7 linked regions of the Macaca mulatta genome follow. The protein of the gene in region 1 interacts with the protein of each later gene in a pairwise test. Links are inferred from orthologs where the notes say so. Each region holds a gene or a part of one and is shown in the gene's direction. Other genes may lie near its edges. The genes, in order: C1H1orf35, SRRM4, CEP70, FXR2, THAP1, DACH1 and STAC3.

Evidence for each region.
Region 2: the proteins of C1H1orf35 (region 1) and SRRM4 interact in binary tests that used the Homo sapiens proteins (3 or more experiments, as listed by UniProt). The link is inferred for Macaca mulatta from reciprocal best matches to the Homo sapiens genes C1orf35 and SRRM4.
Region 3: the proteins of C1H1orf35 (region 1) and CEP70 interact in binary tests that used the Homo sapiens proteins (3 or more experiments, as listed by UniProt). The two-hybrid records come from large-scale screens. The link is inferred for Macaca mulatta from reciprocal best matches to the Homo sapiens genes C1orf35 and CEP70.
Region 4: the proteins of C1H1orf35 (region 1) and FXR2 interact in binary tests that used the Homo sapiens proteins (3 or more experiments, as listed by UniProt). The two-hybrid records come from large-scale screens. The link is inferred for Macaca mulatta from reciprocal best matches to the Homo sapiens genes C1orf35 and FXR2.
Region 5: the proteins of C1H1orf35 (region 1) and THAP1 interact in binary tests that used the Homo sapiens proteins (3 or more experiments, as listed by UniProt). The two-hybrid records come from large-scale screens. The link is inferred for Macaca mulatta from reciprocal best matches to the Homo sapiens genes C1orf35 and THAP1.
Region 6: the proteins of C1H1orf35 (region 1) and DACH1 interact in binary tests that used the Homo sapiens proteins (3 or more experiments, as listed by UniProt). The two-hybrid records come from large-scale screens. The link is inferred for Macaca mulatta from reciprocal best matches to the Homo sapiens genes C1orf35 and DACH1.
Region 7: the proteins of C1H1orf35 (region 1) and STAC3 interact in binary tests that used the Homo sapiens proteins (3 or more experiments, as listed by UniProt). The two-hybrid records come from large-scale screens. The link is inferred for Macaca mulatta from reciprocal best matches to the Homo sapiens genes C1orf35 and STAC3.

The regions. Positions count from the first base shown.
Region 1 is NC_133406.1:85,852,808-85,856,841, reverse strand, and holds C1H1orf35 (multiple myeloma tumor-associated protein 2), read left to right. Parts: upstream 1-1,234; 5' UTR 1,235-1,329; coding exon 1,330-1,423; intron 1,424-1,503; coding exon 1,504-1,654; intron 1,655-1,864; coding exon 1,865-1,910; intron 1,911-1,992; coding exon 1,993-2,075; intron 2,076-2,160; coding exon 2,161-2,233; intron 2,234-2,377; coding exon 2,378-2,463; intron 2,464-3,066; coding exon 3,067-3,201; intron 3,202-3,281; coding exon 3,282-3,402; 3' UTR 3,403-3,722; downstream 3,723-4,034.
Region 2 is NC_133416.1:126,266,866-126,270,877, forward strand, and holds the start of SRRM4 (serine/arginine repetitive matrix protein 4), read left to right. Parts: upstream 1-1,212; 5' UTR 1,213-1,610; coding exon 1,611-1,741; intron 1,742-4,012. UniProt on the Homo sapiens protein: Splicing factor specifically required for neural cell differentiation.
Region 3 is NC_133407.1:41,506,304-41,509,803, reverse strand, and holds part of CEP70 (centrosomal protein of 70 kDa), read left to right. Parts: intron 1-781; coding exon 782-952; intron 953-2,003; exon of another isoform or gene 2,004-2,197; intron 2,198-2,470; exon of another isoform or gene 2,471-2,587; intron 2,588-3,500.
Region 4 is NC_133421.1:9,095,700-9,099,199, reverse strand, and holds part of FXR2 (RNA-binding protein FXR2), read left to right. Parts: intron 1-1,867; exon of another isoform or gene 1,868-1,944; coding exon of another isoform or gene 1,945-1,950; intron 1,951-2,169; coding exon 2,170-2,222; intron 2,223-2,581; coding exon 2,582-2,675; intron 2,676-3,500. UniProt on the Homo sapiens protein: mRNA-binding protein that acts as a regulator of mRNAs translation and/or stability, and which is required for adult hippocampal neurogenesis. Specifically binds to AU-rich elements (AREs) in the 3'-UTR of target mRNAs.
Region 5 is NC_133413.1:44,941,713-44,945,952, reverse strand, and holds the start of THAP1 (THAP domain-containing protein 1), read left to right. Parts: upstream 1-1,440; 5' UTR 1,441-1,660; coding exon 1,661-1,731; intron 1,732-1,857; exon of another isoform or gene 1,858-2,011; coding exon of another isoform or gene 2,012-2,061; intron 2,062-4,240. UniProt on the Homo sapiens protein: DNA-binding transcription regulator that regulates endothelial cell proliferation and G1/S cell-cycle progression.
Region 6 is NC_133422.1:66,324,247-66,327,746, reverse strand, and holds part of DACH1 (dachshund homolog 1), read left to right. Parts: intron 1-1,685; coding exon 1,686-1,841; intron 1,842-2,245; coding exon 2,246-2,418; intron 2,419-3,500. UniProt on the Homo sapiens protein: Transcription factor that is involved in regulation of organogenesis. Seems to be a regulator of SIX1, SIX6 and probably SIX5.
Region 7 is NC_133416.1:64,405,861-64,408,788, reverse strand, and holds part of STAC3 (SH3 and cysteine-rich domain-containing protein 3), read left to right. Parts: coding exon 1-46; intron 47-941; coding exon 942-1,039; intron 1,040-2,928. UniProt on the Homo sapiens protein: Required for normal excitation-contraction coupling in skeletal muscle and for normal muscle contraction in response to membrane depolarization. Required for normal Ca(2+) release from the sarcplasmic reticulum, which ultimately leads to muscle contraction.

The DNA.
Region 1 (4,034 bases):
TTAAGGAATCTGGCTCAGGCTGGGTCCAGTTTCTTTCTGTGTTTTGAGCAACAACCTAGATGCTGTCATCTGTGCCTGGGAACGTTCATGGCTATGGCTCAGGTTCAAGTCTGCAGACGAAATTATACCGTTGGCGAGGTCACAGAGCGGCTAAGGGACTCTGCTTCTTGGTCACCACTGGGAATGAAAGTGGAAAGGTGAAGCAGGGGGATGCCACAACCTCCAAAATCAGGGTGCCCATCATGCTGAGGTTCTGGGAAGGGGTCTCTTCCAGACTACAGACTTCCCGCTGCCTTCGCACAGTGGAAAGCTGCACAAAGCTCTCGGGTCTCTTTTATGAAGGCTCTGTCGTCATGACCTAGTCACCTCCGAAGCACCAACGCCTTGGGTTGGGGATTTCACGTGGGAGTTAGGGTGCACATTCAGTTTACCACGGCAAGGATGGGACCAGTGCTCTGAGGGTGTCTGGGTAGCTGCTGGTTCATCCAGAAGTTTACTGGGTAATACTCAGAAATTCCACAAATCATTAGGGCATTACCTTGTTAAGCTCCCCATATGGAATCGCGGCTGGCAGTGACCAATTGGCGGTGTTAGCTAGGCGCATCCTGTGTGTTTTCTTTTTTTATGAGACAGGGTCTCGTTCACTCGCTCAGGTTGGAGCGCAGTGGCGCGATCTCCTGGGCTCAAGAGATCCTCCCGCCTCAGCCTCAAAGCGTTGGGACTACAGGCGCGCAAGCAAGCGCGCGCCCGGCCCATTTTAACTTTTTTTTTTTTTGAGACAGAGTCTCGCTCTGTCGCCCAGGCTGGAGTGCAGTGGCGCGATCTCGGCTCACTGCAACCCCGCCTCCCGGTTCAAGTAATTCTCCTGCCTCAGCCTCCTGGGTAGCTGGGATTACAAGTGTGCACCACCACACCCGGCTAATTTTTGTATTTTAGTAGAGACGGGGTTTCACCATGTTGGCTAGGCTAGTCTGGAATTCCCGACCTCAAGCGATCCGCCTGCCTGGGCCTCCCAAAGTGCTGCGGGAGCCACAGCGCCCAGGCCGGTTTTAACCATTTTTAAACGTACAGTTCAGAGGCGTTCCCGCGCTGGGCAGGATAGGCGCAGTGCGCAGGCGCCCAAAGCCTGCTTGAAGGTGACGCGCGGGAGCACAGAGCCGGGGCGGTGCGCTGCGCAGGCGCGCGGGGCGAAGCCGGGTGGGCGCCGGGTGACGTCACGGCGCGCGACGCGAAGGCGGGGTCGGGCCTGGGTCCTACGGTAGTGGGTACAGAGGGTCCGGGGTTGCGGGTCGCAGGCCGCAGGCCCCAGGGAACTGCCTCCCGGGCGCCATGTTCGGTTCCAGTCGCGGAGGCGTGCGCGGCGGGCAGGACCAGTTCAACTGGGAGGACGTGAAGACTGACAAGCAGCGGGAGAACTACCTGGGTCCGTGGGCGCGGTGGGCGCGGTGGGCGCGGCGGGCGGCCTCCCGGGGGGCGCTGGGCTCACGGCGCCTACGTCCGCAGGCAACTCGCTGATGGCGCCCGTAGGCCGCTGGCAGAAGGGCCGCGACCTCACCTGGTACGCCAAGGGCCGGGCGCCGTGCGCGGGCCCGAGCCGCGAGGAGGAACTGGCAGCAGTGCGGGAGGCGGAGCGGGAGGCGCTGCTGGCCGCCCTGTGAGTGTCCGCGGACATCAGCGGTCGGTGCTTGGGACTTCGCTGCCGGGGCAGGGTGGGGCCAGGGGCGGGGGCTGGGGGTCGGGCTGGGCGGGGGCGGGGCTGCGGGGACTTGCGCGGGTGGGACCCTCAGGATGAAGGCTGGAGTGGTGAGGACCCGTGGTGGGAGGAGGTCTGTCCGTCCTGACGCCTGCTCTGGTCCTCTCGCAGTGGCTACAAGAACGTGAAGAAGCAGCCCACGGGCCTGAGCAAGGAGGTAACTCCCTGGAGTGGGGGGCACGTGGAGGGCCGTGGGTGTGGGGCCGTCCGGAACGCTGCCTGTGCTCCCGCACCTGCAGGATTTCGCGGAGGTCTGCAAGCGGGAAGGAGGCGACCCGGAGGAGAAGGGCGTGGACCGGCTGCTGGGGCTGGGGAGCGCCAGGTGCGAGCAGGTTTCCAGGGGAGGGCAGAATTGCTCGGGTGAGGCGGGCCCTTGACGGACTGTCTTCATCGCCGTGTTCCTGCAGTGGCTCCGTGGGCCGCGTGGCGATGTCCCGAGAGGACAAGGAAGCCGCCAAACTGGGGCTGTCTGTGTTCACGGTAATTCCCCGCCCCGCCTGACCGCAACAGGGGCCAACAGGGGTGGCGCAGGGCGGGGGCACTGAACGTAGCTCCCCGGGGCGCTGCGGGGCGTGGTGTGGGGCCGGCCCTCAGACTCTTCCCCAGAGCGCGATTCTCCCGCAGCATCACCGCGTAGAGAGCGGCGGGCCCGGGACCTCGGCAACCTCGGCCAGGAGGAAGCCGCGGGCGGAGGATCAGACGGAAAGCAGGTGAGGCTGCACCTACTGGGCGAGCTGCGCGCCGGAGGGGGTCTCGGGAGGACCTCAGCGGCTCCCGCTCCGGCAGGTGGCAGCTTCTCTTGGCGCACCGGCCCGGCCGGTGGCCTGCCCTACTTTACTTCCTGTCCCACTTACTCCTAGGTTTTTCTCTAGGGGAGTTTCTCGGGTCACCCTTGAAGAGAGGTCCTAAGTACTGGCAGTGGTCGCGGGCTGCGCCGTGGGAGGGCGCTCAGGACCTGCGGCGGGGCCTTTTCCTTCCATGGGTGGCACCTCCAGGGCTTCTCTTGGGTGGTGAGCCTGGGCCTGACCCCAAGAGTGGCCTGGTGGGTGCAAGTAGGAAGGTGTCAACCTGTCAAGGGCACAGCTGGGGTGTAACAGGGCCGTGCTGTGGAGATAGGGATATCGCATCAGTTTCTAACCCAGGGCAGCCACTGGCCACGTGACTGCATTACTGAGGAGTGGAATTGGTAGTCTGATTTAACTGATTTAAAGACGCACTTGTGGGTGGTGGCTTCATCTCCTGGTTGGGGTCTGTGTTCACTCTCTTGGCCTGCAAGACTAGGGTCTGAGGTGCGCCTTGTATCCTCCTTGTAGCTCTGAGAGCCACAGGAAAAGCAAGAAGGAGAAGAAGAAAAAGAAAAAGAAGAAACACAAGAAAGAGAAGAAGAAGAAAGACAAAGAGCACAGGCAGCCAGCTGAGGCTGCCTCCTCTCCCACATCTCCCGAGAGGTATGCCCTGGTCTGTGTCTGCCTCTTGTGGGTGGGAGCCTGGTTGACTCCTTCTGAGTGACTGCCCTTGGTCTCCCCAGGCCCAGGCACCACCACGACTCCTATTCCAACTCCCCCTGTTGTAAGAGGAGGAAGCGGGGACACAGTGGGGACAGGAGAAGTCCGTCTCGCAGGTGGCATGACAGAGGCTCTGAGGCCTGATGGCTGGACCCTGCTCACTGCTATTGTGGGACCCTGAACTCTCCCTTTGCCTTGCTTGCCTCCTGCCTCGGAAGCCCCTCGTGTGTGGGTGAAGCCCGGGGCTGCTCCTGTGGAAGTGGCTCTGGGCACCAGCCTGTGGGGCTAATGGCTAGACAGCTAGCTCTGGAAAACCTCCAGGTTTCACATAGCGGGGATGGTCCCTGGCTTGCCCTGTGAAGGTGAACCTGCCCAGAGGTACCAGTAGAAGCTGGACTCCCTCTGCCAGTAGAGACAGCAGCCATGGGCCTATGAGCGGTCTAACTGTGGCCAAGTATGGTGACCTCTATTTTTCCTTACATTGACTCTTTGTATTTCAATAAATATATTTTAAAAGGAAGGTGTATCATCCTAATTGGAAGGTCAGTGTCGAGTTAAATGAGATCCCACTGGGAGGTTGGAGCTGGGGTCTGTCTTCCAGGAGTCTGAGGCCTGGTGATTTTTTTTTTTTTTTTAGTTTCGCTTTTGTTTCCCAGGCTGGAGTGTAATGGCACTATCTCAGCTCACTGCAACCTCTGCCTCCCAGGTTCAAGCGATTCTCCTGTCAACCTCCTGAGTAGCTGGAATTACAGGCGCCTGCCACTACTCCCAGCTAA
Region 2 (4,012 bases), on another chromosome or scaffold:
CCAGGGGCTTGAAGGCCTTTAAGACTGATTGAGGCCTCCTTCCAGGAATTGACAACCTGGAAAGTGGAAGCCGGGGTGGGGCGGCGTTAGGTGGGAGATGGGGGAGTAGCAACTCTGCTAAGATTAAAAGCCTTCCAGGAAGGCAAGGGCTGAGGGGTCCCGCCACGATATCTTTTTTTATAATGAAAACCCTGGGGGGGAAGCAAGAGTCATTCTAACCAGATCCTGTGTGTCTGGGGTTGATCTGGGATTCTAAACCTCCACTTGCTTGGGATTACGATTGAACTGCGAGGCGGTAAGAAGATGGGGAGGAGAGAACGAAAAGTAACTCTCCCCTTGCTAATCCTCGAGATTTTCCTCTCCAACCCTCCCATTAAGCGCTTTCTTTTCCAAAACATGCTCCTTTCCCGAGACTAGCGGCATTAGGAAAAGTGGCTGCAGGCGGATTCCCCAGGAGTGGATGGGGGTGGGGTGGGGTGGGGTGGGGTGGGGTGGGAGGGGAACTCTTTCCTTTGGACGGGGTTGGCGGCGGGGGCGCTGGGCAGGCCGGCTGTGAAACACAAAAGAGGTACCCTTGACAGCTCCGCATGCACAGATGTAACGCTGCGCCCCTTGGCGGGCGGGGGCCCGGCTCGGCAGATGGCGAGAAGCCGAACTGGTGAGGGATTGTCGATCAAATGGCACTTTCTGGGTGGTGAAGACCTTGCTAACCCCTGGCTCAAAGAGGAACGCAGGGGACCCTCTGTACCGGCCTAGGCCGTCTCTGCCAAAAGCGAGGGTCCGGTGGAGGCCGGCCGGGGTGGATAAATTAAGTTTTTTACCCCCTTCCCCCCGCCCCTCCCCCACCCCGGCAGAAGATCAGCTACAAGACTTGTGAAGGGGCTGGGAAGAAAGGTGGCCTGGCCCCAAGGGCACCCAAGAAAGGACTGAGGAAGGCCGGCGATGATGGAAGAGGAGAGGGGCCTGGGAAGCAGGATCTCCTGCCTGGCGCAGATTGGGGTGCCAGGATGGCTTCTCACAGTGGTCAGCGCTGCAACTCGGTCGCTGCGGGGCCCTGGTGACAGGCGCACGCCCCGCCCTTTCTCCTCCCAAGACCTGCGGGCTTTTGTTATGCAGATGGCGGCAGGAGGCTGAGCCTGAGGAGGAGGGGGTTGGTGGGGAGGAGGAGAAACGGAGAGAGGGGAGGAAAGTGCAGCTCGCGCGACCAGCCTCCTCTTCCAACGTCACATTGTGCGAGAGACAAAACCCGGGCGCGCCGGAGCTCACACGCGCACGCACACACATCCGACCCCGTCGCCTCTTCTCTCCTGGCGCTGCCCAGAAAGCCAGCCCTCCCTTCCCTTCTTGGGGCGCAGAGGCTCAGCCAGCTCAGAGCGCAGCCAGGAGCCGACCCAGAAGGGCGAAGAAAACCCGGCGGACGAGCCTCCTTTCTCTGCTGCCTGCTCGGACTGGGGCGTCCCATCCCCCGCCCTGAACTCCGATCTCTCCCACCCCACCCCTCTCTGGGTTTCACCCGGACAGAGCCCGGAGCTGGGTGTCGCCCCTGTTTGGAATCCACGTTTCAGCACTTCGGACAGCGCCCCGGGCGCCCCGGCCTCTTTGGGTTGGCGATGGCGAGCGTTCAGCAAGGCGAGAAGCAGCTTTTTGAGAAGTTCTGGCGAGGAACCTTCAAAGCGGTGGCCACCCCCCGTCCCGAGAGCATCATTGTCGCCAGTATCACGGCCCGCAAGCCGCTGCCAAGGTAATGATCTCCTTCTTAAAAGGGGGGGATCCCGAAGGTCCCCCTTTCTGGCCTGTGCCCTATAGCCCGGAGGGGTGGATGCAGGCAGTCGGGCCAGGGCGCCTGTCTTTTCCCGTCACTACTCGGCGGCTCCCGCTGAAACATGGGAACTCATTGCTTGTGTGAGGTGGAAGATGGTGAGAAGGGACAGGAATTCTTTGTGGGGGGGGGGGCAACGCTCAGCGGAACCCCGTAGCTCCTATTCAAGAGGTTTTGCTACCTGAGGGTGGACGGTGCAGGTGGGGTATGACTTGACTGAAAAACTTTTCTTGGTGTCACAGAGTCCAGAGGGCAGGTGGGCCAAAGAATGGTGGATTTGAGGAGTTTGGGGGGTGTTGTACCAGAAAAGGAGAATTAAGCCAGCTCAAGCAGCGTTCAGAGATAGCACACATTTCCATCCTCGGCTCGGAAGCTAGCGAGCTTTGAACATTTTTGACAAAAGCCCATATGCTGTTGCCTCAAATACACCCAAAACAGCACCCTCCTCCACGCCTTTCTGGCGGCTGCTGCCGCTGCTGCTGAATTCTCTCCTCTCCAGCATCCAAAACCAAGACTCTGAGCTCAGGAGTCAGGGAGGAGCCTTCCAAGATCGTGAAGATGATCTTGGAAGAGTTTTATTTTGTTTTTCTTTTTTGTTTTTTTTCCAAAAAGAATCTGATTGCTTTGAACTCAGGGATGAGAACAGATCCTTGGATGGTGGTAGACATGGTGCTGATGGAAGGAAGAATAAGGGAAAAAATGAAAGAAAGAGGGGAACAGGAGGTGGGGTGAGAGGGAGAGGAGGTTGGGGGAAAATAGAAGCATTCCAAGACAGAGAAAAATCCAATTCTTTTCATAAATCATTCAATTTAGAGGAGTTTGAGAATGAAAGGAAGAAGGCTGTGCCTTCTGTCAGGGAAAATCAAGGCAGTATGAAAACTCATCTTTTGCTGGTGTTGGATGAGTGGTTTAGTGGGAGAAAGGAAAGAAGTTGACCAGGGGGACCACTTGGAAGATTTATTAATCCTGGCAGTCTGCATTAGGGAGCAGATTGAAAACATGTCTGCAAAAGTGATTCGGACAGACTGAACGTCTGTTCTGGCACAACTGATTCTGAACTTTCCAGTGGGTGTAAGGTGGAAGATGTATGGGGAATTACGCCTGAAGAATCAAAGCCAGACTGGAGAAGTTTTCCTCTTCACCGTCTTGTAGAGGATCACACAGGTCTTTAGAGAAATGGGTATCCCATTTTAGGAATGGGTGGACAAGCAACACAACAGGCCAGTAGCGTGTAGCAGGCTGCAAGCTGAAGCAGCACCAGCCAGTGTTTGCAGATGGGAAGAAGGGGACACACACCCACCCACCGACACAGGCTGGAGAAGGGGAACAACAATACCAAATGCCGTTAAAAGCTGATGCTTCGCTGCTTCAAAGAAGGTTCTTTGTATAGAGTTTTGACGTCAGTGGTTTTATCTTCCTGGGTTTCTGCTATCTATTCCACCTTTGGAATGTACCTACTGTTGGCTAATCAGGTGCTGCACTGGCCAAAGAAAATGCCCTTGTAGAAGGAACTAGAGGAAATTTCACTGGAAACTAGAAGTATGACATTTAGTCCAGAGTCTTCCATCTATTTTAGGGGTACGGGGAGAGGAAAGCGGATTCCTGGTGGTGTTTTGATTCAAGAAAGCACACCTAATGTCCACCTTGCTTGGTACTTTCCACTTTTGTCTGTCTGTCTGTTACTTTCCTGCCCTTTTCTTGGTCATATTTGCAATCACATGAATGGTGCACAAGGTCTTTCAACCCTCACGCTTTCTGCAGCTTTTTGCTAATTCTAATGTAATCCTTTTGAGACTTTTATAATACTCCACTCCCCCTCTGCAACCAGTATCATTTCACTCTTGGTGCCTTTTCATGTCGTGGGTCTTCTTTGCCGTAGAAACCACCCCTGGGGTGAAAGCCTGAGCCATAAGCCCTCGATTTATGTCATGCTAGGAGAATCCTGTGTAATACTTCTGTAATAGGCGTGGCCTCTCTGTAGAACAGATTCCAGTTTTATAACTGTTACTCCCGGTTTGGGGTAGAGAGTGAGGAGGGAACATTTGTTTCCAAGTCCTCAGGAAAGGTTGGATTGGAGTTGTCTTTTAACAGACCAGATAAAACCTGAATCATCCCCATTCTCACCCAAGGCAGCCACATCCAGTGACATTCAATTTCCACTTCCTTTTCAACATTCCACACTTACTTAAGGGT
Region 3 (3,500 bases), on another chromosome or scaffold:
TCAACCTGGGATTACAGGCATGAGCCACCATACTAAGCCTGGGGATTACTGTTAATTTCCTTAAATAGTCTGATAACGGTCTTGTGGGTTTGTAGGAGAATATGCCTACTTTTAAAAGATGCACGCTTTATTATTTCAGGGTGCAGAGTTTCTTCAAATGGTTCACCTCAAAATATAGATAGCAAATATGGCACAATACTAACAATTGTTGAACCTAGGTAGTGATTATATGGGTGTTTGTATTAGTTAATTTTGTTTCAACTTTACTGTGGCATAGGATGCCCAATATTTGGTTAAACATTATTCTGGATGTGTGTCTGGGAAGATGCTTCTGGATGAGATTGACATCTGAATCAGTAGACTTAGTGAAGCAAACTGCCTTTCCTAATGGGGTAGGCCTCATCCAATCATTTGAAGGCCTGAGTAGAACAAAAGGCTGAATAAGAGGGAACTCCTCCCCGCTGACTGCTTTCAAGATGGGACACTTTTTTTTCCTGCCTTCAGACTCAAACTGAAACATTCGCACTTGCAGGGGTCTCAGTCTGCCTGTGTTTGGACTGCAAATATCCATTAGCTTTTCTGGGTCTTCACTTACTCTCTGCAAATCTTGAGACTTGTCAGTCTTCATAATTGCATGAACCAATTCCTTGTGATAATTCTTTGTATATTTAATGAAATGCATGTATATAATATATATAGACATAAAGCACTCCTTTAAAATATATAACTTTGTAGGCATAGGATAAATATTTTGACTAAATACACTATGTTTTTTTTAAAGGTGCTATGTAGCATCAATTCAATTATCCACAATCCAAGAGCTCCAGTAATAATTTATAAACAGAGCAAAGGGGGAGCCCAAAATTTTAATAAAGATCTTATTCAAGATTGTGGATTTGAGCATCTTGTTCCTATAATAGAAATGTGGGCAGATCAACTGACATCCTTAAAGGTAAGGGGTTGACTATTCTTTATATGCTTTGAACATCTATTGGACTCTATGTGCTTTATTTATAGGACTTAATTTAGGGCTAGAAATTAAATAGGGTTTAATTTTTTGTTTGTTAACTGTAAAGCTAAAAAAACTTATCTAAAACTGAAATCTTCCTACTTACATATCTATTTTACGTACTGTTTTGATGTTGTCATTACTGTAAGCTTTACTTCCTCTAAGGCTCTACCAAACAAGAAATTTTTGGGTTAATTTCCTTATTGAAAATCTATAGTGGATCCACTTTGTACTTCCAGGCTTTTCCCTGTTCTACCTTCATCTGCCTCCTTTTGGTATGTCCATGCTACGATTTTCCTGGCCCTTATTCCTCTTCAGATATAATGTCTTATCCTTCATTTCGTTATAATTGGGGATATTTTCTCTCTCTTCACACTTTATTTTCTGTCTCTCAGAACTGAGCTTGTCTCCATTTCTGCTTATTCTCTAGAACAGATAGTAAGCTAGCAGCCAACCCTACCCTTCCCTATCCTATCTATTCATGGAAGACTACATTTTATTTACTTTATAGAGTTATTGTGTATTGCATGGTTTCAGGTTTTTTCAGTTTTAACTAGTTTGCTGAAAGGTAAATAGTTGAAATCAGTAGTATTTAACTTCTTTGCCCTTTAAACTTTAGATTTCTTAGTAACTAATATAATACATAGCATACGCCTGTTAATGAAAATGTGATTCAATAATAGTGTTTGCAACAGAAGTCTTATTACATGAAGTACAAGTGATGCAGAAGATATCTGTTAAGAATGTATAAGCTCCCCGAAGACAGTGTTTTTATTTGTTCTGATATGTCCCCAAGATCCTCCTGATGAACGAGTGCTCAATTAATATTTGTTAAAGGAATGAAGCAGAATAATATATCCCAAGACAACAAAATTGGGGGTGGTGATGTTAATTTTTTTAAAATTTCTACTTGCCTTTTTATATAGGGCTCAGACAGAGCTACATAATACACAAACATTTTGATTGAGTGACAGTGCTGGATTAATATACTTACTTTATAGGCCGGAGTTCCTCCAGTCTGTATCTCAGAAGAGTGTAAAATAATTAGTAATCATGTAAATCATGGTATTTCCTCAATCATTGCCTGTCAGAGGGTTCTCCCAGTAGGAGGGAACAGTGCTGACTCCACCTTTCTCCTTCTCAGAAGGGAAGGACTAGAAAAAGCCCTAACCTTCCTAGAAGAAAAGACTAGAAGAGGAAGAAGACAAAGGGAAGAATCACATTAATGGATAATTATTGATCATTTATCATGCTAAGCCATTATGGGATGAACACAAGATTCACACTAATTAGAGAGACAAAATATACTTAAAAATATGAAACATTTATCATGCTAAGCCATTATGGGATGAACACAAGATTCACACTAATTAGAGAGACAAAATATACTTAAAAATATGAAACAAAATGTAATCATTTATGATACCATTAAAAGAAATGAGTGACATAAAAATAGATTACCTGTGATGAAGTTCTGAGTGAATGATGCAGATAACTTGTGCTCTAGAGTCTGGAGGAGAAAGAGAACACTCTGATTATAGCCCCCAAGAAAGGCTTTGCCGTGGTGGTGAGTTCTTGCTATTGTATAGTTTTCTGAGTAGGAGGAGGCAAGGAATTCACTTTATAATTAGAATATTCTGAGGACACCCAAGAGGAAATTATTAAGAATTAGTTACTTCTGCCTTTGGAGTAACTCATGGGTTTTGAGCAGTGCTTCAGATATTAATACTACAGTTTCAGGGTCCAAATTAAGAAACTGCATGAGATTCTCTGAGGCCTCATATTAAAGGTTATTTGATATGTAACAACCTCTAAGTTTGGGACAACCATCTTCCCTTATTAGTTTTTTCGCTCAGTTTAATTTGGCTTTAAAGAGTAGGATAGGTTTGAGGAATGAGTGGATAAGCAAAATGTGGTATATACATATATTGCAATATTATTCAGCCATTAAAAGAAAAGAAATTCTGACCCATGCAACATGGGTGAACATTAGGAGGACATTATGCTAAGTGAAATAAGTCACAAGAAGATTCCACTTATATAATTCCACTTATATGAGATACTTAGTGAAAATCATAGAGACAAAGTAGAGTGGTGATTGCTAGAGGGAGGAGGGAAATGGGAAGTTATTGTTTAATGGGTATAAAGTTTCAGTGTTACAAGATGAAAAGAGTTATGGAGATGGATGGTGGTGTTGGTTGCACAACATTATGAACATATTTAATAACACTGAACTTACATTTAAAAATGGTTAAGATGGTAAATTTTATGTGTATTTTACTAGTTTTAAAAATTGGAAGAAAAGAAGGCTGGGAAAGACATGGAGCCAGCCGCCTCCATCCTTGTGTCTTTTCCCTCCTGCCTTTCCAAGAAAGGTAAACTACAGATGTTGTAGCTTTCCCCAACCCAGTACACTCTTGAATACTTTCGCTTTCCTATTCTCTAGTGCTTCAGAGGCCAGACATACACGGTAGGCTGGCCCATGGTAGTA
Region 4 (3,500 bases), on another chromosome or scaffold:
ACCCCATCTCTACTAAAAAGTACAAAAAACTAGCCGGGACAAAAAACTAGCCGGGCAAGGTGGCGGACGCCTGTAGTCCCAGCTATTTGGGAGGGGGAGGCAGGAGAGTGGCGTAAACCCGGGAGGCGGAACTTGCAGTGAGCTGAAATCCGGGCACTGCACTCCAGCCTGGGCGATACAGCGAGACTCCGTCTCAAAAAAAAAAAAAAATAAATAAATAAAAATATGTTTTAAAAAAAGAGGCCAGGCACAATGGTTCATACCTGTAATCCCAGCACTTTGGGAGGCTGAGGCGGGTGGATCAGGTCGGGAGTTTGAGACCAGTCTGACCAACATGGAGAAACCCTGTCTCTACTAAAAATACAAAATTAGCTGAGCATGGTGGCACATGCCTGTAATCCCAGCTACTTGGGAGGCTGAGGCAGAATTGCTTGAACCTGGGAGGCGGAGGTTGCGGTGAGCCAAAATTGCACCATTGCACTCCAGCCTGGGCAACAAGAGCAAAACTCTGTCTCAAAAAAAATAAATAAAAATTAAAAAATTTAAAAAACGTTGATCAATACCTCACTTTATATGTAAAACTTAATTCAAAATGGATTATAGGGCTAGGCACAGTGGCTCACATCTGTAATCCCAGCTTTGGGAGGCCGAGGCGGGTGGATCAACTGAGGTCAGGAGTTCGCGACGAGCCTGGCCAACATGGTAAAACCCCATATCTACTAAAAATATGAAAAATTAGCCTGGTATGGTGGCGGTTGCCTGTAACCTTAGCTACTCGAGAGGCTGAGGCAGGAGAATTGCTTGAACCCAGGGGGTGGATGTTGCAGTGGGCCAAGAGATTGTGCCATTGCACTCTAGCCTGGGTGACAGAGTGAGACTCTGTCTAAAAATAAAGGAGTATAGATGTAAATGTAAAACAAAAAACTAAAAGTTTAAGAAGACATAAGGGAAAACCTTTGTGGCCTTGGATTAGGCAAAGATTTCTTTTTTCTTTTTTTTGAGATGGAGTTTTGCTCTTGTCGCCCAGCCTGGAGTGCAATAGCACGATCTTGGCTCACTGCAACCTCTGACTCTCAGGTTCAGGTGATTCTCTTTCCTCAGCCTCCCAAGTAGCTGGGATTACAGGCATGCACTACCATGCCTGGCTAAGTTTTATATTTTTAGTAGAGATGGGGTTTCACCATGTTGGCCAGGCTGGTCTCGAACTCCTGACCTCAGATGATCGGCCTGCCTTGTCTCCCAAAGTGCTGGGATTACAGGTGTGAGCCACTGTGCCTGGCCTGGGCAAAGATTTCTTAGATATGAAACCAAAAGCACAGTTGATAAAATAATAAATTCATAAGCTAGACCTTTTTCAAAATTAGAAATCCCTAATTGTATGTGACAAATAGGGGGAAGGTAGAAAAATTGGGAGCGCAGGGGTGAACTCATGGCTTTGGCCTCCTTAGTGAGGACATAGACCACAGGAGATGGATCAGCTGTTCAGTCGTCCCTGTTCCTCTTGTCATAATATCAAGTTTGGAGTCTTCCATACATTTTGTTATCCTTTATAAATTTTCAGTGTCATTCTAGATTCAATTCTAGTATTAAAAAACTCTGATGTATTTTAAGTCTTAATTTTTCCTTCTGTAAATTGTGTTCATCACAATTTTGAACTTGTCTAGTGTTCTGATTATTGTCTTAGGACCCATGCATCAGGGCAGCGAGTCTGCTCAGATCTCTTGCTGTATTGCGGAGGTAGGCCTTTCTCTCTCTTGACAGATCCTCATGTCCTCTAGGTGTTCCAGGACAGCCTCACACTGTCTCATGGGATATTCTTAGCCTTGCTGAATGTTGTTGGTATTTTAATTGAACTCTGGCAGGCTGCTCAGCACAACAGGAGGCAGACAGATAGGGAGGCCCCTGTGGGAGCCTGAGTAGATCACCGGTTTCCAGGCTGTTCTGATGCAGGTGGTACATACACCTCTCCATGACAATATAATTTCCTTTCTCTGTCTGACTGCCCATATTCTTTCCCCAGTGCAGCCTTTCAGGCTCTCTCATTACACCACTTGTGTCCCTATCTAAAACTCAAGTTTAAGGGTTTGTGGTGTCTCTATTCCCTTGGTGGCTAAGGTGGAAGTAAAAGGTCATTTTATATTTTTTACTTTTTTCTAAAATCCATTCTAGGGCTTTGTGAAGGATGTCCATGAAGACTCTGTCACCATCTTCTTTGAAAACAAGTAAGACCTTGGGAATAGAGAATCCAGCATACTAGGTCCTAGAAGGAGAGTGGAGAAGAGGGGGCGGCTGAGTCCTATGAGGCATGTAATAGGTGGGGAGACCTGAGGGTTTGGGTGGGGAACTTACATGGATCCCAGGAGAGGAAAGGGCTGAGAATTTGGTGAGGGCGGGGGCGTTTGGCCCAGTATTTAGAGTCTAGAAAGAGATGGATGGCACCACTATGGAGCAGGACCTGGGGGTTAGCCTCTGATTATCCAGATAGGTGGGAATCGCCCAGCCGAGGCAATAACCCTTTTGTAAAGAAATGGGCAACCGTATCAGTCAGAGTAGCTTTTTCATATTCTTGTTTCTCTTACAGCTGGCAGAGTGAGAGACAAATTCCTTTTGGAGATGTCCGACTACCACCTCCAGCTGACTATAATAAGGAGATCACAGAAGGGGATGAAGTGGAGGTAAGGGCTGTGGAGTACACCCTTTCTAAATGTCACGTTTTCCCAGGATTCTAGGCTTTTCTCTGGTTGGTTCATATTCCTTCCTCCCCAACTAAACCATATCCAGCCACTAAGTCATTTCCATAGGCTACATGCCTGTGGAAATGTAAAATGCAACAGTTCCCCTTTCATCACTGTTATGATCAGCCAAACTCTGAGGGACATCCCCAGTTTCAGGGGATTTGCCTTCCATTTGTGGTAACAGCATCTAAAATCCAGTGTGCGCTGATTTTTTTTTTTTTTTTTTTTGAGATGGAGTCTCGCTCTGTCGCCCAGGCTGGAGTGCGGTGGCCGGATCTCAGCTCACTGCAAGCTCCGCCTCCCGGGTTCAAGCGATTCTCCTGCCTCAGCCTCCCGAGTAGCTGGGACTACAGGCGCCCGCCACCTCGCCCGGCTAGTTTTTTGTACTTTTTAGTAGAGACGGGGTTTCACCGTGTTAGCCAGGATGGTCTCGATCTCCTGACCTCATGGTCCGCCTGTCTCGGCCTCCCAAAGTGCTGGGATTACAGGCTTGAGCCACCGTGCCCGGCTTTTTTTTTTTTTTTTTTTCAGATGGAGTCTCGCTCTGTTGCCCAGGCTGGAGTGCAGTGGTGCAATCTTGGCTTACTACAACCTCCACCTCTCGGTTTCAAGCAATTCTTCCACCTCAGCCCCCCAAGTAGCTGGGATTACAGGCACTTGCCATCATGCCTGGCTAATTTTTGTATTTTTGCAGAGACGAGGTTTTACCATGTTGGCCAGGCTAGTCTTTTTCTTTTTTTTTTTTTTTTTGAGACGGAGTCTCGC
Region 5 (4,240 bases), on another chromosome or scaffold:
AAAGATCATGGGGACATGTGCTGTGCTACAAGGGTTTGTGATAAAGGATTAATTACTATATTATGTAAGAATCGATATCTTTATTTATTTATGAGACAGAGTCTTACTCTTGTCGCCCAGGCTGGAGTGCAGTGGTGCAAGCACGGCTCACTGCAACCTCCGCCTTCCCAGATTCAAGCGATTCTCCTGCCTCAGCCTCCAGAGTAGCTGAGATTCGAGGCATGTGCCAACCACACCCGGTTAATTTTTGTATTTTTAGTAGAGACGGGTTTCACCATGTTAGCCAGGCTAGTCTTAAACTCCTGACCTCAAGTGATCCGCCCGCCTCAGCCTTCCAAAGTGCTCGGATTACAGGCGTGAGGCACTGTGCCCAGTCCATTATTATCTTTAAAGCAAAATTAGGAATGCTTCTGTTCTCAAAATATCGAGATATCTGGACACTTCGAAGTCTGGGTCTGTTTAGTAAACATTATCAATCTGTTGCCTTAATGGTATACATCTAGAGGCTAGGAACACCTAACTTTCCGGGAATGCAGCCCAGCAAGTCCCAGCCTCATTTTCCTAGCCCTCACTCAACACAGAGTCGCTCTATTTCGAACCCCTCTGACATATTCTCTCTCAGATGTGAAAACTGCTGCAGCAGCTCCCTATTTGCAACACCGCACATGGAAATCACAGCAATGGACAGCCCTTCACAAAAGCTTCTGGGGAGGGAGGGCCTGGTGGCTCAACTCCCGTAATCCCAACCCACTGGGAGGTCGAGATAGGTGGATCCCTTCAGCTCGAGTTCTAGACTGGCCTGGGCAACGTGGGGAGATCCTGCCTCTATTTTTTTAAAAAATTACATATATATATATACACACACACGTATATATGCATACATATATACATATATATAATGCTTCTGCGTTGGCAATTCAGATGATTTGGCGAGTGTGTCTTTTTTCATTGCTAAAAACCTGTCACGTTGGCTCTCAGAGACTTGTGATGCCTGAAGACACAGGTAATGGGAAAAAGATCAGCATTCTGGGAAAAGGTTCCACAATTTTATTAATCATACACCATCTGTGTCCGCCCTTTTAGAGAAATGGGCGCAATCAGACAACGACCTCGGCTTTACACCTGTTCTCCATGAGGCCCTAGTTGTTTCCTACTGTAAGCCGCCCCAGAAAAGCTCCGCATCAATTAACCCACGGGAACAGCCCGGGCTGGATGATGCCCCTGGAATCCAGCCTCCCGCCGCGCCTCCTCCCCCGCAAGCTGTTCCTTCCTGCCTACCGGAAGTTCAGGGCTCCGCCCACTTCCGCAACTCTGAAGCCACCGCCGGAAACACCTGGCCTCAGCCAATAGTTAGCTTCCCAGGAATCGTTACCTCTGACCTCGGGGCTAATCAGAGACAGTGGGACGCACCCCTCGCGAGAGGTGAGGTTGAAGCTGCCTCCGCCATCTTGGAGATGGGAGACGGGCGATGGCTGTGGTCCTTCTGCTAATGCAAACAACAAAACGGGCACACTAGTCACCCCAGAGGGAGGCCACCATTACTGTAACTGTTGGCCAAAGCTACAAAAGAGCGAGGGTGTCCAACCGAGCGCGGCGACACTGAAAGCAGCTTCCCCTGCCTTCTGCGGCGGCAGAAGTGAAGTGCCTGAAGACCGGAAGGATGGTGCAGTCCTGCTCCGCCTACGGCTGCAAGAACCGCTACGACAAGGACAAGCCCGTTTCTTTCCACAAGTGAGGACCCTGCGCGCCTCGCGGGGCCGGTCTTAGCCAGGGTGGGGGCGCGCGACCGGCGGGGCCGGGGGCGGAGCCAGGCGCGTGTCCGCGCGAGGGGCGGGTGGGGTCTGGGGCCGGCCGCGCGAGGCGTTTCCCGCCGCGTCCTGCTGGGAACCGTCGCCCGATCGCGCGTTCTCGGCGCGCGTCTCCGCGGCGGTTGTTTCTTGCGCTCTCGGAACAGGTCCTCGTTGCAGGCTTCGCTCCAGGCCTCGGTTGACGAGTTTGGAGCCCGCGGGCGATGCCTATGGTGGCGCGGGTTTTGCCGCCACCAGGGTCACGAGCAGCCAGGTGTTGTAATAACGTCTTAGGGGTAAATTTGAAATATAAACAAAGGCCTTTCCCTTGTCGTGGATGGGAGGCCAGCATCGTAGCAATTAAGGGTTTTTTGGCTGGGAAATCCCGGAGAATTTTTGCCCCAAATCTCTAGGAACTAAGCTTTAAGGACCCTGAGTTTTGAAGAAAGCTTCAGGTACTGCCAAGATAAATCGTTATCTTTTCAGCACACAATAATGATAATATGGATAGTTACAACATGGATCATAATAAAATGACTCACACTGATCTTTATTTATTACGGCATTACCTGTGCATAGAGGAAGCTCTTTCGAAAGAAACTGCCCCACAGCTTTCAGAGCTGTCTTATCCAATAGGTAGCACAGTTAAGAGTGCTAGGATCAAAAATATTCTCTTGAAAATAGGAAAAAAAGTGCAAAGTTGCAATTACTTATGATAATCAAACGCTTGTAAAATGTGACATAACATTCAGCTGAATTTGTTTACAAATTTTAATTACATTTATGTTAAGTTTTCTTTGTAAGAATTCCTGACAACTATATGCAGATGATAGCTAAGAAATCAGATCCAGGGGTAAACTATACAAATTAGTCATAGGTAATTAGCTAATTATCTTTTATAATTAGGTAATTACAAAAGCAAAATGTTAAATATCCTTTCAATTTTTTTATTTTGGTGTGGAGCCATCTATGTTTACTAGGGGAGTGTCCATGCATTTTTTAAGTGTTTGATATCATGTGAGATGGACCCTATAGAAATAAGAGAGTGTAGAACATAGGTCTCCAGAGTAATGATGTTACCCCTTGGCGAAGGGGGTAGAACACTTACAGGATTCAGTTCAGGATATCCTAATATTGTCTCTTAATTTAATTGGAATTTCTGTAAACATGTTCTTTCGAAATGTAGGAAAAGGTCAGGTGATGGTAACAGGATTACATGTGCAGCTCCCCACCCACATTTCTGATGGCATGGCAGAAGGAATCTAAAATTATGGAAAATGTTTCACTGGCACTGGAAACAAGTTTAAGGAGGGTATTCACACGTCAGAAATAACTGTGTTTTTGGCCAGGCACAGTGGCTCATGCCTGTAATTCTCAGCACTTAGGGAGGCCTAGGTGGGCAGATCACCTGACGTCAGGATTCAAGACCAGCCTGGCCAACATGGCAAAATCCCGTCTCTACTAAAAATACAAAATACAGGCGTACGCCTGTAATCCTAGCTACCTGGGAGGCTGAGGTAGGGGAATCGCTTGAACCTGGGATATGGAGGTTGCAGTGAGCTGAGATCTTGCCCTGCACTCCAGCTTGGGTAACAGAGCCAGACTCCATGTCAAAAAAAAAAAAAAAAGAGAGAAATAACTGTTTCTGCTAGGTGTTAAACACATACGGATTGAATCAAAAGAAGAGCTAACCTGCATCTTATCCCTTATCTAAAAGAGCAGGTTTAGGGAGAGTAGATGGGAAAGATTTTAACAGAATCTCACAAACAGCTGTAAATTTGTGGTCCTTGTGCCAGGAGGCCCTAGGTACTGACTGAATTTTAGCAGCAAATGCTACCATAGTTTATGCTTACAGAGCCAGGAGGCCATAGGTACGGAATTTTACCAGCAAATGCCACCCTAGTTTATACGTATAGAGGCCATTTCCAGCTGAGATTTTCTTCTTCTCTTTTTGAGATGGAGTCTTGCTCTGTCACCAGGCTGGAGTGCAGTGGCACGATCTCGACTCACTGCAACCTCTGCCTCCCCGGTTCAAGCGATTCGCCTCAGCCTTCTGAGTAGCTGGGACTACAGGCGCGCAACACCACGCCCAGCTAATTTTTTTTTTTTTTTTTTTTTTTTTGAGACGGAGTCTGGCTCTGTCGCCTGGGCTAGAGTGCAGTGGCCGGATCTCAGCTCACTGCAAGCTCCGCCCCCCGGGTTTACGCCATTCTCCTGCCTCAGCCTCCCGAGTAGCTGGGACTACAGGCGCCCGCCGCCTCGCCCGGCTAGTTTTTTGTATTTTTTAGTAGAGACGGGGTTTCACCGTGTTCGCCAGGATGGTCTCGATCTCCTGACCTCGTGATCCGCCCGTCTCGGCCTCCCAAAGTGCTGGGATTACAGTTGTGATTACAGGCCACGCCCAGCCCCAGCTGAGATTTTCTAGGAGTACCACTTATCCCACCGTCTGCATA
Region 6 (3,500 bases), on another chromosome or scaffold:
GAAAATTACTTATTATTTCTTACTTTCCAGCACAATTTTTATATTAAAATAATATTTATTCCAAAGCATGATTTCTATATCCCGATAGTCAGTTTTAACTGATAACATACAAGGTAAAATCAATGCTGAATCATAACATTTGACCAAATCAGATCCCACAGATTTTGGGAATTAAGCCTGCAATAAAAAATTGCATGTACTTTGATAAAGGCAATGTAAAGAGAAGATGTTTACAATGTTTTATAATAATAATCTCTTGATAGCATACATTTGAAAAATTCATCTATTTATAGTTCTTGCATGTTTGACTAGTACCTTAGAATAAGTGTCAAAAAAGTTATGAGAACAGAAATAAGGTGTATAAATTTGTGAATATGAAAAGAACTTTTATATCACAGTGTAGGAGCAAGCTGGAGAAATTTCATTTATGTGAGTCGTTTCTGCATAAAGCTATAAACTTTTTTAAAACCAAAAGCTGTCATGGTTTCTTGTAAAATAATAAAGATAATAAAGATATCCATTTTAATTGATTCTTTTCATTGTTTAATAAAATTGCTTTGTTTGATTGCTGAAGAATTTGAATTGAGTTTTCATTACCCACTTCTGAACAATTTACTCTAAGATCCAGACAGTATTGAGCTAATGAGTTTGAATTTATATTGAACCTTAACTGTCTTCATGAAGTAAATGGGAAAAAATCATGGCAGTAACTAAGTATTCTTCATTAAGAACTATGTCATAGAGATTTTACAATGAGGCTTTTAGCAGAGTTTAAGCATCAAATTGGAGTTTTACCAACTCTGCTGTTTCTATGCATATTATATGAAAATATGGTTTCTTTTTTTAAGAAATAAAAAAGTCATGAGCTAATAGAGATATTACAGAAATTTCCTCTAAGTGGATAGTTTGTATTTTCAACAGATTCAGTTAAGGAATAAATTAATATTGAATTAATTTAATTTGAGAGCACATTGAAATTGAAATGATTTATAAACACCTTCCAAGGAGTATTCTAATAAGGTATTTCGTGAGCTTTTAAAATCCAAGGAATTGCCACCAATGTTGAAATGCAGGTCCTCAGTTGAGTGACATTGACATGGAGACATAAATGTATATTTCTCTTTATTGAAAACAAGTGATGTATTTATTCATACAAATATGCATGCATATTTAATTTTTGCTTTGGCATTATATTCTATAAAGTGATCTTTTGTGTTCTCTGTACAATGTCTAACCAAGCTGGACATTTAATGGCTCCATTTTTAGGATTTGCTGTGTAATGAAGTTAGGCACTTTATTTGATGCCTAGGATGTCATTTACTACAAGGATAACTTTGCATTCTATAAATATTAGTGTGTTTCAATTCCAAGGAGTAATTAATTATCTAGTTAATATAATAGAGACAATTTAATATTAAGCTGGATAGCCAACACAGTATTAGACTCCACCACTAGGTTAAATGTTGCAGAAATACTATTTTTTAAAATTTTGAGATCCTATATAAGAAACAGAAAATCAAAAAGAATGTGCAGCTTAGGGGAAATTTACTTACCTCAGCTTATTTCCCTAGAAATCAGTTTTCCAACTCCAAATGTGATATATTTTTTAAAACGTCATTTTAAATTAGTCGTTTTAAGATTTGGAATAATATTATATCCAAGTAATTTATATTCATTCCCCACAGGCAGCAGTGATGGTTCCTGGGATAAGGAAACACTGCCCTCTTCCCCATCCCAGGGACCTCAGGCCTCTGTAACCCAGCCCCGCTTGCCTGGAGCACGTAGCCTTCCACTTAGTCATCCTCTCAACCATCTTCAGCAGAGCCACCTTCTGCCAAATGGTACGATGGCATTTTTTAGCATTAAAAAATCGTAGTTTTAAAAATTGTAATTATCAGTTGGCAAAATAAGACATAATACAGAGATATACTATATTTACATAACTAATTGGGATAAGTTAAAGAACACCCTAGTATTTTAAGCAAGATTCAGACAGATTACAGGAATAATATAGCAAAGAATTGACCATTTGTATTAAACACAGGAAAAGTTAGGAAATGAAAAACCATGGGACCAAACCAAATAGCTATAAGCCTAGTTTCTCTGAGTAGTGAGTGAAATTTTTGCATACGAAGAGGAAAAATATTTTTTCTTTGACTATCATTATTAGAAAACTTTTGAATGTTTCAATTTTTAATGATTTATGCCCTCCAGAGCAATGATGATATATGTGCATTTTTTATAGGACTGGAACTTCCTTTTATGATGATGCCCCACCCTCTAATTCCTGTCAGCCTACCTCCAGCGTCTGTCACCATGGCAATGAGCCAGATGAACCACCTCAGCACCATTGCAAATATGGCTGCAGCAGCACAAGTTCAGAGTCCCCCATCCAGAGTGGAGACATCAGTTATTAAGGTAATTCTTTTTTTATACAATTATTTTGGCATGTTCATCTTAAGCCACCATCTATTAATCCATTTTTCTTATTCCATAAGTACATTTGAACTCTAAAAAGCTAAGTGATAGTAAATAGATTATTTAAAGAGTAGCAAGTGGCCCCAGGGGCACACTACTTACTTAGGCAGGCTAGGGTTGCTTTAAATTCTCTATATATCTATTAAGATAGAGAAAAACATAGGACATTAAATGTTATAGTTCAAATTGTCTGTGTTCTTACATGGGTAGTTGTGTGTATGTGTGTGTGGTGTTATGAGCATTTATGTGAGGAGAATCAGAAGCCCAGAAGGGATAAATTCTGCCACTTTCTAGCTCTGTCACCTTAGACATGTAATTCAATCTTCCTGATTCTAGTAAATATCTAATAAAGGCATAATCTAGTGTGGATTATTTTGTGAAAACTAAATGAAGTAATAAAATTGGAAGTTTCCACACATTCAAAAATACACTAAATTGAAGGTAACATTATTGTTATATAAACTTCATATGTGCATATATACACAATTCTGTCTCCTCTATCCCTGTGAATCTGTGTGTGTATGTGTGTGAATTGTATGAGTTTATATATATATATATGTATATATAATCTTTTTCCTTTATATTATTTTAAAATGTGTACTTAAATCAAATTATTTTAAGTGCATTGTCTGATTGGCCAAGGAGTAAGAAATAACAAAAAATTAAGAATAGATTATTGATTTTTAAACTAAGTAAAAGATATTTTATGCTTCATGATCATTATTTGACATTACAATTATCCCATTTTTCTGAATACAATACACTTAAATTTTAGGGTAGCCTCTGGAGCACATCTTATGTAAAAGGCCCTGTTACTACTTACATACAATGTTGAGTAATATGCAAATAGGAATTTTTCTCATGTTAAAGGCTCTAAAAACAAAGATATGTCCCAGATGCTTTGAGCAGTTTCTGTAGTATCAATACCAGAGGAAAAATAACCCAAAGTCTCACAGAAGACCCGGATCAACTACTCAAAGATCGCCACCTGAGAGAACGCCAGTGAGTGCCACATTGATCTC
Region 7 (2,928 bases), on another chromosome or scaffold:
TCCCCACTCTACAGCAACCAGCAGTACGCTTGTATCAAAGATCTCTGTAAGTGCCCTTTATGGAACATGAGGGAATGGGCAAGCCTAGAGATGGTTTCATGCCATCTCTAGCTTTGGAAGCCAAATTCTGAAACAGAAACTTTCTATTTCCCATAATTCTCCCTCAACCTAACATTTTTATATCCATTTGGATGCAGAGGCAATATCCCCATTTTACAGCAGAGGGAGATAAGATTTAGTTGCAACTACATACGGTTAGCAAGAGGTAGCGCCAAGACTGGAATCTTCAGTTGCTAGCTTCAGAATCTGTGCTCTTCATGTGCAAAATCATTTCTAAGCAAGAACAAGGATTCTAGATTGTCCTCATCCTTACTACAGAGTCATACCAGACTTGGGGCAAGACCTAAAGGCTGCAGGCACCCTGGGCATGTTCATAATTTGGCAACCCTTAAAAGTATATTCATTGACAAATTTGCTCAACATTTATTTGGAGCAGAGGCTGAACTCTGTGAAGAGCATGGGTGAAAAAGAAGAACCTATTGGTGGCAGCACCTCAGCTTACACATGCCATTCAGCAGAACAAAAACCAGAAGTTAAGGGCCCATTCTCCTTAGAAGGAGAATAGTGATTCTGAGCATGTCTCAACTCCCAAGCAACCAAAGTTGTCTTTCAAACGTCATATAATGCTCTGCCTGGAAGGAGTTCTGATAAATACTTTTCTCCCTCACATTACATCACCAGTGATGTTTTTAGAGTCCTTTCTAGATCGGTGTCCTAGGTATTGCTCAGCTGACCCTTCCCTAATCTTCCCCCACGGCGCCCCCACTGCCACCCAGCACACACATGGGTATCCATCTACTCGATCCTGCCTTTCGCTTCCTTTCCTCCAAGCCTTTCTCTGCCTCCCCAATAATGTCTTCTTTCTCCTCCAATTTGATTAGCTGCTGCCAATCGCAATGACCCTGTGTTTGAAACCCTGCGCACTGGGGTGATCATGGCAAACAAGGAACGGAAGAAGGGACAGGCAGATAAAAAAAATGTGAGCACTGTACCTCCCCACGAGGTCCCTCCCAGAGATCCCATGGAGCAGGTCATTTTCCCATTTGGGAAGCTGACAGAAGTAATGGATTATCTTCCCCTAAAATTGCACATAACCCGACCAGGCATGGTGGCTCATGCCTGTAATCCCAGCACTTTGGAAGGCCAGGGCGGGTGTATCATGAAGCCAGGAGATCAAGACCATCCTGGCCAACATGGTGAAACCTCGTCTTTACTAAAAATACAAAAATTAGCCAGGCATGGTTGTGTGTAATCCCAGCTACTCGGGAGGCTGAGGCAAGAGAATCACTTGAACCCAGGAGGCGGAGGTTGCAGTGAGCTGAAATCACACCACTGCACTCTAGCCTGGGTGACAGAGCAAGACTCCATCTCAAAAAAAAAAAAAAAAAAAAAAAGGCCGGGTGAGGTGGCTCACGCCTGTAATCCCAGCACTTTGGGAGGCCAAGGCGGGTGGATTACCTGAGGTCAGGAGTTTGAGACCAGCCTGGCCAACATGGTGAAACCCCGTCTCTACTAAAAATACAAAAATTAGCCAGGTGTGGTAGCACACGCCTGTAATCCCAGCTACTTGGGAGGCTGAGGCAGGAGAATTGCTTGAGCCCAGGAGGCGGAGGTTGCAGTGAGCCGAGATTGTGCCACTGCACTCCAGCCTAGCCGACAGAGTGAGATTCTGTCTCAAAAAAAAAAAAAAAGAAAAGAAAAAGAAAAAAAAATTGCACATAACCCAACAGAAATATTTTTGCATGCAATTTTAGGGGGTTTTGGGACCTACTGCAGCTCACTCACCATGGGCCTCTGGTTAAGAACTCTAGCCATAGATTACGTTTTCTCAGCTTCCTTCTGAAATAGTCAGATTAGCCACTACAACCACATGAAGGCTAGGCCCAAAGTCTTTGGCATTGCTGGGTGACAGAGGCAAGAGCTGTGCTTTTGGATGTAGGAAAGAGAACTTGTCATGCCAAGTAACTGGAGAATTCTAGAGCCATGCAAGGATCCATGAAGATCATCTGGTCTGACCCATTCATTTTACAGATGATGAAACTGAGGCACAAAGCTACTGGCCAAGATAAACCTCATTTCCTTTTGTAACAGGGTTTCTAGGTTAGTAATGCCATAGATTTGCATTCAGTTCAGCATGGAATTTGTTAGAATATTCTTATATCTTTCTGGACAACCAGGGTTGGACCAGTATGGATGATGGTTACAGTTAGATGGACTCCTAAAATTGGTTGAGTGGCAGTACTCAGAGTCCAGGTCCTTTCAGTATTATACAGCTAGAGGGAGATTTCTGGTGCGTTATAACATGATTTAGATATAATGAAGATACAAATTGTATGTTCATGCCGGGTGCGGTGGCTCACGCCTGTAATCCCAGCACTTTGGGACGCCAAGGTGGGCAGATTACTTGAGGTCAGGAGTTCGAAACCTGCCTGGCCAACATGGTGAAACCCTGTCTCTACTGAAAACACACACACACACACACACACACACTATATATATATATATATATATATATATATATATATATATATATCCAGGGCGTGGTGGCACTCACTTGTAATCCCAGCTACTTGGGAGGCTGAGGCAGGAGAATCGCTTGAACCCGGGAGGCAGAGGTTGCAGTGAGCCACTGCACTTCACACTTCAGCCTGAGGGAGAAAGCAAGACCTTGTCTCAAAAAAAAAAAAAGAAAGAAAGAAAAGAAAAGATAAATGTACATATTTGTTCTTGATCAAAAAATCACCTGCAAAAAACAGAACTAGAAATCTGGCCTCAGACTTGTTGATATGGAGGTTGGGCACAGATAAGGGATTTCTATGGAGTGAATTCTGACTTACAAGGCACTAGCAGTGTGATTTGGCTGCTTCC